Drosophila melanogaster: one gene and its partner. The gene in region 2 interacts genetically with the main gene of each other region. Each region holds a gene or a part of one and is shown on either strand. Other genes may lie near its edges.

What was found.
Region 1: of Bug22 (region 2) and TTLL3B, changing one enhances a phenotype caused by changing the other (phenotypic enhancement), as found in Drosophila melanogaster (one study listed by BioGRID).

The regions. Positions count from the first base shown.
Region 1 is NT_033779.5:6,731,302-6,736,655, reverse strand, and holds TTLL3B (tubulin tyrosine ligase-like 3B), read right to left. Parts: upstream 3,791-5,354; 5' UTR 3,408-3,790; coding exon 2,078-3,407; intron 2,006-2,077; coding exon 1,197-2,005; intron 1,113-1,196; coding exon 981-1,112; 3' UTR 926-980; intron 873-925; 3' UTR 756-872; intron 698-755; 3' UTR 507-697; downstream 1-506. Other genes in the region: TTLL3A (tubulin tyrosine ligase-like 3A), read left to right, coding at 1-207. UniProt on the Drosophila melanogaster protein: Essential glycylase which modifies both tubulin and non-tubulin proteins, generating side chains of glycine on the gamma-carboxyl groups of specific glutamate residues of target proteins.
Region 2 is NT_033779.5:10,429,393-10,432,824, forward strand, and holds Bug22 (basal body up regulated gene 22), read right to left. Parts: upstream 1,527-3,432; 5' UTR 1,323-1,526; coding exon 1,047-1,322; intron 991-1,046; coding exon 667-990; 3' UTR 528-666; downstream 1-527. Other genes in the region: CG5188 (uncharacterized protein), read left to right, coding at 1-267, 323-519; TfIIB (transcription factor IIB), read left to right, coding at 2,011-2,027, 2,085-2,496, 2,552-2,786, 2,850-3,133. UniProt on the Drosophila melanogaster protein: Cilium- and flagellum-specific protein that plays a role in axonemal structure organization and motility. Microtubule inner protein (MIP) part of the dynein-decorated doublet microtubules (DMTs) in cilia axoneme, which is required for motile cilia beating.

The sequences.
Region 1 (5,354 bases), 3.7 Mb from region 2:
GGCCGGAAGTCGAATGGTCCGAGGTTGCCCATTAGCATATCCGTGCAGGCACTCCATCGAGGAGAGCCCATCGTGGCGGCTCTGAAGCAGGCCACCAGTGAGCTGCAGCTCTCCCAGGCCCAGATGATGAGCCCCCGTACCGCCCTGGCCAATAAGCTGAATGGTTCCACGCTGATGGTTCCTGCTTCAGCACTTCCGGTCGGCTAAGACACCTCCGAAACTGCCGTGATTGGTCAATAAAACGTAGTTACCACTCCAGTACCTTAAAGGTACAAGTGGAGATCCATTACCCAACCAGGGTACGGGTTTCGTTTAACCTGTGAATAAGCTGCCTTTTAGACAACATATTTTAAAAATTGAATACATTTTAGGATGACGAATTATTTTGTGAATACTTCAATAAATGAATTTAAAACATCATACATAAATCAAACGTTCTATAGCATGTGAAATCTTAGAAATATTCGAATTATATTAATAATCCAGAATTATACAGAATTGTTTTTAAGACGAATTTATTGCAAAAATTGTTATGAAAATCTGCGCAAGTTATTGTATTCTAAAATTGTTATATCTATTTAATAAATTTAAATCGATTTGGCAATTAATGGTCCTGACTGTATATTTTATTTATGTGTTACTTTATATGTATTTTTTATTGATCTCCACTGGCGCCAAGAACATTGATCCTCGGAATCTGAAACGGTGTTATTTTAATATTACTTAAATTTAATATAATAATGAATTAAACTTACTCTTTTGTTTTCGTAGGATGCAAACCTATCCAGCTGGGCTTTCTTTCCTTACACATATTTATTACTAATACAGTTCTGTACAATCTATGCATATTATTGTTTTCTGTGTCATTGGATCTTAAAAAGAAAATATTTCATAGTATTTTATGAATATGCTTAGGAGTACCTACTGTCCAAAAAAAAGTGGTTTCCATTCCGCACAAAAAGAAGTTAAATTTAGCCAATTTACTTTGGAGCAGTATATTGCAGTGCAAGATTTTCCCGAGTTGCTGGATTTAGTATCAACTTGGTTGTCAAATTCTGCGTTGATGGCTGAGCCGAGGCTGCCGTCGAGCTTCCAGCTGACGCAGATAGTTTCTAAAAATATTTTAAATAAATTCGTTAAGTATTCAGCTCTAAAATTGATTTTTTCCAGAATTGTTAACTATTTTTGTACCATACCTTTTTCTTGGTGATCTTGGCAGTGGGATTCTTCACATTTTTAGCTGGAGCCTCCACGACCTTTTCGACCTTCTTGGTAGTTGATGTCTTCACATTGTTCAGAATCTTGCGCAGGAGCCGCGTCCTGGGGCTGTTCCGCATTCTGGGCATATTTTCGAACAGGGTCATCTGTTTGCCATTCAGTTCCAGCGGCTTGCCATCCGCTCCCTTGTTTATGCTGTAGTTCACCTCGAAGGCGAGCTCGAAGAGTCCGGTGGCAGCGGTGGGGTTCTTGGGCAGATCCACCACCACGCGGATGCAATCCTTCAGAACCATCGGACATATCCTGGCCGTGATCTCCGTGGATGGCGACAAATCCGGCGTCGAGTTGATCTCGATCAGAATGGGATTGTAGTGCTCGTCGAGCATGAAGTCGCAACCGTACAGCTCGAAGGCGTTCTGCAACAACTCCGTCTCGTCCAGACTGGCCATCACCACAGCCACCAGGTTCTGCTTGAATCCGTTGTACGTCTTCGACCACGATCCGTCCGGAGCACCCATTATGCGTAGGTAGTTCTTGAACTGATCCAGTGACCACATGTTATTCTTGGGCAGCCGCGAATCCCGGTTGGTCTTGTTCTTGTACCGCTTCTGCACCGAATTATTGGTCAGGTGGATGGACTCCCGCAGATCGTCCATGGTGAACTCCTGCGAGCTGAAGCGCAGGTAGCAGTCGCGATACGTCCATATGCTCACCTTAGTGTCCGTGATGGTCAGCAGCATGTACTGCCGGATGTCGAACTTGGTGCGGTAAATCAGCAGGGGTCGCTCTGAGCGGAAATGTTGATGAAAATTTGTCAAAGGATCAAAGGATTTCTCCACTAGATACTAATCGAACTCACCTATGTACTTCTGGACAATGTATTTCTTGTTCTGATTGTTGGAGGTCCACTGCAGAATGTCGTCCAGGGAGCTGCGGATTACAATGCCGATGCCGCGCGACTGGTATCCGGGCTTGAGAATCCACAGGTTGCGGCTGCCATCCCAACGGTAGTCCGGACGAAGGGACTCGATCTGGTCGAGATACAGGCCCGCTAGACGGGCGTACTCTGCCATCACCTTCTCGCTGACCTTGAACTTAGCATTGGACTTGAGCACATCGGTGGACTGCACCATAAAGGTCTGATTCTCAACGATCTCCGCCGGAGTCGGCGGCTTGATGCGAGCATCGTCCAAGGAGTAGTGCTCCGCGTGGCGCACCATCTTCTTGACCTTGCCGAGCGCAAAGTCCAGAGTGGTGCTGAATATGGTGCCGTTCTCGCTGATCAGCTCTGCCGGCTGGTGCTCCCTTACATAGAGCAGCAGGGAGCGGGCCTGCGTCTGCTGGTAGTCCTCTATGAAGGCCATACGCTCCTCCAGATTGTTACCGCCCAGGCGATAGAAGCGCGGATAGCTCATGCCGCAGACACCGTCCTCGCGATACCAGCGCTCCTGTTCGGCGCAGCCCACCAGACCCACCTTGGTGGAGAAGTCCAGGAACTGGCTGCGGCGCACACGATTCCGGAAGGGTCTTACCTCGGCGCATAGGTCGCGCTGCCCCTTGCCCTGCCAGATGAAGAAGGCTGGGAAATGGTTGATCATCTTGGATATGACCACCGCCTCGTAGTCGTTGCCCCGCCGGGCGTGCTCCAGCAGGGCATCCTCGGACATGCTCTGCAGCTTGGCATGCCGCGAGGCCGGCAGTTTCTCCAGCCAGCCCCTTCGCATTAGAGCCCGTCTAACCGTGTGGTAGTTGCCGTATACGGTGAAGATCCGCCGATTACGGTACGCATCGATCACACGGGTGCGGTAGACATTGCGCATCTGACGCTTTTGTGCTTCCGGCGCCGTGGGCGAGCTGGTCACGGTCCTGGGCAACGGAGTTGATGCACGGACACGGGCCAAAAGATTGCCAATGCTGTCGGGAGAGAAGTTGTTGCTACCCATGCTGCTGCTGCCGCCCATGGTTTTGGACCCACTGCCACCACCAAGCGCTCCGAAATTCGAGAAGTGGCTGCCAAGGCTGGTGCTGTTATTGAGGCTAGTCAGCGGCTTCTGCACGGAGCACTGCTTGCACAGCTGCACCAGCTCCGCGTCCAGGTTGTGAATGAGCGACTGGATCTTTGAGACGGGGTTGTAGTAGCGGTTTCGATTTCCGGTGAATCCTGCCGGCGTGGTGTTCTGCGTGGTCATACTGCTGGCTACTGCTCCTAATCTCCTCCGCTAACTCCGTGGATGAATGTCCTACTGCGTCTGCGTATGCCTAACAGTATCCGTGTCCTGGGAGTGGCCGTGTCCAGTGACCTTGCCCCTTCTCCCGAAAAGGGTGCTTTATTGGTGGGTGGATGGGTGGTCTAGTTACCAATGCAGCCGGTTGCTTCGTACAATTAACGTGGAATTTTGAAGCAGGAGCCAAACAGTTTCTAACAGTATCGCATGTACTAACGAAAAGTCTCGATTGACTTAAAAAGCATTTCTTCGCATAGAAAAGCAAATTTTTTTTAAACCAAAAAAGTAGTGGAAGCCGAATGGGAAATTAAAATTAACGCATTTAAATCAAAGCTTACTGCTGCTGACACAGTAACAAATCAGATTTAACTGAGTTTAGTTCAAATTTTCAAAAGACATAGCAAAAAAGTGGAAAGCGAATTTTACAGAAAACACACACTCGTCTGGTTGCTTTTTTTGTAATAAATTTTAATTTGTAGTTATATTTTCATCATTTGTTTTCGTGGTTTGCTGGGTTTTCTTTTTTCTTTCAAATATATATGGTACATATAAAAAACTCCTAACCGGAATTTTTGCCTAATTTGCTTGTATTGCATTCAATTTTCATGTTCACAATATTGTATAAATATATTTACATAAGTGTATGGTAATCAATTTTATATTTAGGTTATGCATCATTTAGTTTAGTTACGCTCATTTATAAACTTCCTTTTGTGGAATTCTCAACAAAAGTCAACAATTAAACCAATCCTTGTTCAAATCAACATACATATTGTGGATTTAGTTAGTCAATTAAGGTTACACATCATAAATATTTGCTTTACTCTCGCTTTTACTTAGATAATGCTACAGTTACATTCATAAATAAGTTTTCAGTTTTAAGAGCTTTTATAAGTTTCCTTACACGTTTGTAATTCTTTTTTAATTTGCTAATACAGTTGAAATAATTTTATTAAGTATTTTCCTCTTGTTAGTGTTTTATAATATATATATATATTTTAGTTTTATAAATTAATTTAAGCATATGGTATTCATTTTTACTGATTCTTGATTTTTCTCTATTTCAACTTAAGGACAAGCGTTAGTTGCAATTTTGGTTTTTTGTACACATAAGTATAAACTTAAACTTAATGTACGTAAAGACTGTAAAACCAACTTTTCCAGATGCTTTATACGTGTTGTTGTGTGGCAGTTTGTGTGCTTTAACGTATAAAGGGAAAGTAAGTACATGCAAAACTTAAATAGGTTAGTGTATTAGAGGGGGACTTACACATAAATTGAAGAAATTGTTTCAGAATTCAACTGGCCGCTCTTGAAACTGAACTGAAGTAACCACGTAAACGAATTTTATGAAGGGTGTGTATATTTGTTTTGAAAAACAATGGATATGCTTTTAGATTTTGTAAATAGATCCTTTAAAGTATTTTTAAGATTAATTCTTTATTGAAATTCTAATTCCCTTCAGCCAATGAGCAAAGAAATTCTCTTATTCGGGGCTTAAGCAAAGGTTAAGAGTTGAGTTTTGGTTTAGGTTTAGTTCGCCTTTAAAGCTTTTTCGATTTTTCGACTAAATGATCTCGTATATGTAATTATGTAAATAGTTGATTTCAATGGGCGCTTGCGACTTCTACAACTTCCCTTCCTCTTTTGTTTACTTCACATTTAATACTTTGTTGTTAGTTACACGTATGCTTCATAATGTTTAATTATTAGATTTATGATTCATTATAATTTATAAATCGTATATATATGCAGCTGTTATACTCTATATATGTATGCCTGATTGTTGTGCATGTTGTTCAGTTTATAAACTCAATTGGTACGCCGTCTCTGCCTTCTACAAAAATCTAAACAGAAACACGATAATGTCATATGTAAAGCGTATGTTAGTTGTTTTAATTTTAAAGAAAT
Region 2 (3,432 bases):
TCACAGTCTTTTTGAACGGCTACCATGGCGACTGTTCGGAAACATTTCGGGTGGGCAACGTGGACGAACGGGGTGGCTTTCTCGTGGAGGCCACTAAATCCTGTTTGGATCAGTGCATTTCGCTGTGCGGCCCCGGTGTGGAATTCAATGAGATTGGAAAGTTCATAGACAGATATTGCGACGAACATGATCTGGCATCGATAGCTGCTTTCATTGGACATGGAATCGGTAGCTATTTCCACGGCCCCCCGGAGATACTACACTATTGTAAGTAAGACTGTTTAAGAGACTCCTCCATTGCTAATCAAACTGCACATCGTAGATAATGAGATTCCTGGAAAGATGCAGCCCGGCATGACCTTCACCATTGAACCCATTCTGTCCCTGGGCGGAGCAGAAATAGCAGTGCTGCAAGATGGCTGGACGGCCATTAGTTTGGATGGCGCACGTAGCGCCCAGTTCGAGCACACCATTCTGATAACCGAGACGGGAACGGAGATACTTACAAGAGATCAATAGAATTTTATGTACATGATGCAATTTTTATTCGTGATTCCCATAAAGTGTTGAATGAGTGCTGGATGGCAGTCTTGTGCATTTTGTGCCGTTTTAATCGTCGACTCCGTCTGGTTAGGTGCTCTAATTGATTGATGATGCATACAGAATTTAGCTACAAATCGCATTGGACTTCTGCACCGGCTTCTGAATGGGAAGGAAGAGCTTAAACTCCGGCGGCAGCTCGTCCTCCGAGTAGAGACGATCGGAGAAGTAGACGCGTCTGATGCGGCAATTTGCATGAATCTGTACACGGAGTGTCTCCACATAATTGGTGCCGTATGCGCGACGCGTGAAGTCGGACAGGTTGAACTGGATCTGGTTCCATCCCTCGTCCAATCGCATGGGCATGGTGCAAATGAAAGGCTTGACACGAGTTGTCGACTGGTAGTTACTGGCCCTAAACCTTCGCCGCACGTTCTTGTCATCGAGAACCTGATTAGGGGCGGAAATCATGGAGTTACTGTCTTATGCAAGATGACGAAGCTTACCTGAACCTCGAAGGTGAAGTACTTCTTCATGTTCTTGATGATCATCACCAGGAAGGGCAGCTTGATGCCCAGCGTCTTCTTCGGATCTGCCGGACATGTTATGAACGTGGTGCTGACATTGGTGCCGACTATTTCCAACACGAGGCTTTGTATGTCGTTGTCGGTGATCCGCTTGATGTGTCCATTGCGCACCTTCTTATCCCACAGCTGCAGTGGCTTTGAGCCAATACTGTACAGAATTGATAGGAATCCCGATTGGAAAGTGTTTTTGAACATTTCGCGACTGCTGTGCAGTGACCGGTTCGCCCCACGGAGAGTATAGTCTCTTCGAAATTTATATAGGGCCAGTTAAGGTTGGCCGTAAATTTTTCGCACAGCCGAAACTCGTACAAACTACGAACATCAATGCGGAACTTGATTATTTTCTCATGTCAATGAGTTTGTTTAGCACGGCATCCTGTTGTTGCCATAACAATAAGCGAGCAGGGTTGCCACGTTTCCAAATGCTTGAACATGCTCGCATGTTTATGTGGGGTGCGAAATTGCGAAGTTGAAGGCCTGTCTCGCTTATGGAACGGTGAAAAAGAAACAGCTTAAAAAATAAATAATAACATGCGTTAATTTGGAATTGGCTAGACAAAAAACATCTATTATTGTTAAAAATTTTTATTTATGAATTAATAACTTTTAATCAAGTTAAAATGGTGCTTATTATTAACAGCATGGAAACTTAAAATATAGAACATTAATTGTGAAAGTAAAACAGATTGCTAAAATGCTAAAGGTGGTTAAGTTATTATTAACAGCAAGAAAACTTAAAATACAGAAAAATAATTATTAAAGTTGACTTTCCCATATTCCGATTTCTGTGAAGCAAAAACCTAAGCAGCTATCGAGTTATCGGGCAAAGTCACATCACCAGTTGATGTGAGTATTAAAAAAATATATAGCTTACAGAGTACAAATGGCATCGACATCGAGGTAAAAGTCGGGTTTCCTAACAATTTGTGAACACCAATAATGGCTTACTGCTTGCAGACTGGACAACAACAAGGTGTGCTGCTACGCACACCCCGAATCTCCGCTCATCGAGGACTACAGGGCTGGCGATATGATTTGCTCCGAGTGTGGTCTGGTGGTTGGGGACCGCGTAATTGATGTGGGCTCCGAGTGGCGTACCTTTAGCAACGAGAAGAGCGGCGTGGATCCCAGTCGTGTCGGTGGACCGGAGAATCCGCTGCTCAGTGGCGGCGACTTGTCCACCATAATTGGTCCGGGCACAGGATCCGCATCCTTTGACGCCTTTGGAGCACCCAAGTACCAAAACAGACGCACCATGAGCAGCTCGGATCGCTCCCTCATATCAGCCTTTAAGGAGATATCCTCGATGGCCGATCGCATTAACTTGCCCAAAACCATTGTCGATCGGGCCAACAACTTGTTCAAACAGGTGAAATTCGAGTTCGCGGTTGATTTGGTTGAGACCTCATGCCGTTTTCTTGTAGGTTCATGATGGAAAGAACCTCAAGGGTCGTTCCAACGATGCCAAGGCATCCGCTTGTCTGTATATAGCTTGTCGCCAAGAAGGAGTTCCTCGCACATTCAAGGAAATATGTGCTGTCAGCAAGATCAGCAAAAAAGAGATTGGCCGTTGCTTTAAGCTAACATTGAAGGCTCTCGAGACAAGTGTGGATCTCATAACCACTGCGGACTTCATGTGCCGCTTCTGCGCCAACTTGGGTAAGTGTTTTTACACTTTCTGTACTTGAAGGTAGCAGGATTAATACCTATAATTCTTATCAGACCTGCCGAACATGGTCCAACGCGCTGCCACGCACATTGCAAAGAAAGCCGTCGAGATGGATATTGTACCGGGACGTTCGCCAATTTCTGTGGCCGCAGCCGCAATCTATATGGCCTCACAAGCATCCGAGCATAAGAGAAGCCAGAAGGAAATCGGTGATATAGCCGGTGTGGCCGACGTCACCATCAGACAGTCCTACAAACTTATGTATCCGCACGCAGCTAAGCTTTTCCCCGAGGACTTTAAGTTTACCACTCCCATTGATCAGTTACCACAGATGTAATTCTTTTCGTAGATCCGATGCTCAATACTAACGCTAACGTTAAGTGAAGGAAAATTCCTAATTTAATCACAAATTACGATTTTATTAAATAAAGTTAGCATAACTAATATTCAAATAGAACTGTTGGACCAATCAGAACATAATTAAATCATTGTTAAATTAATTATCTGAGTTAAACCCTTTCAGTTTTTGAACTTTATTCCAATGATTCGTAATACTTTGCTTGCTTGATTTATTTTTACATTTTTTGTGTATCTTTGGTATAATATAAGCTAATAACCAGAAACAAAAATTGCACA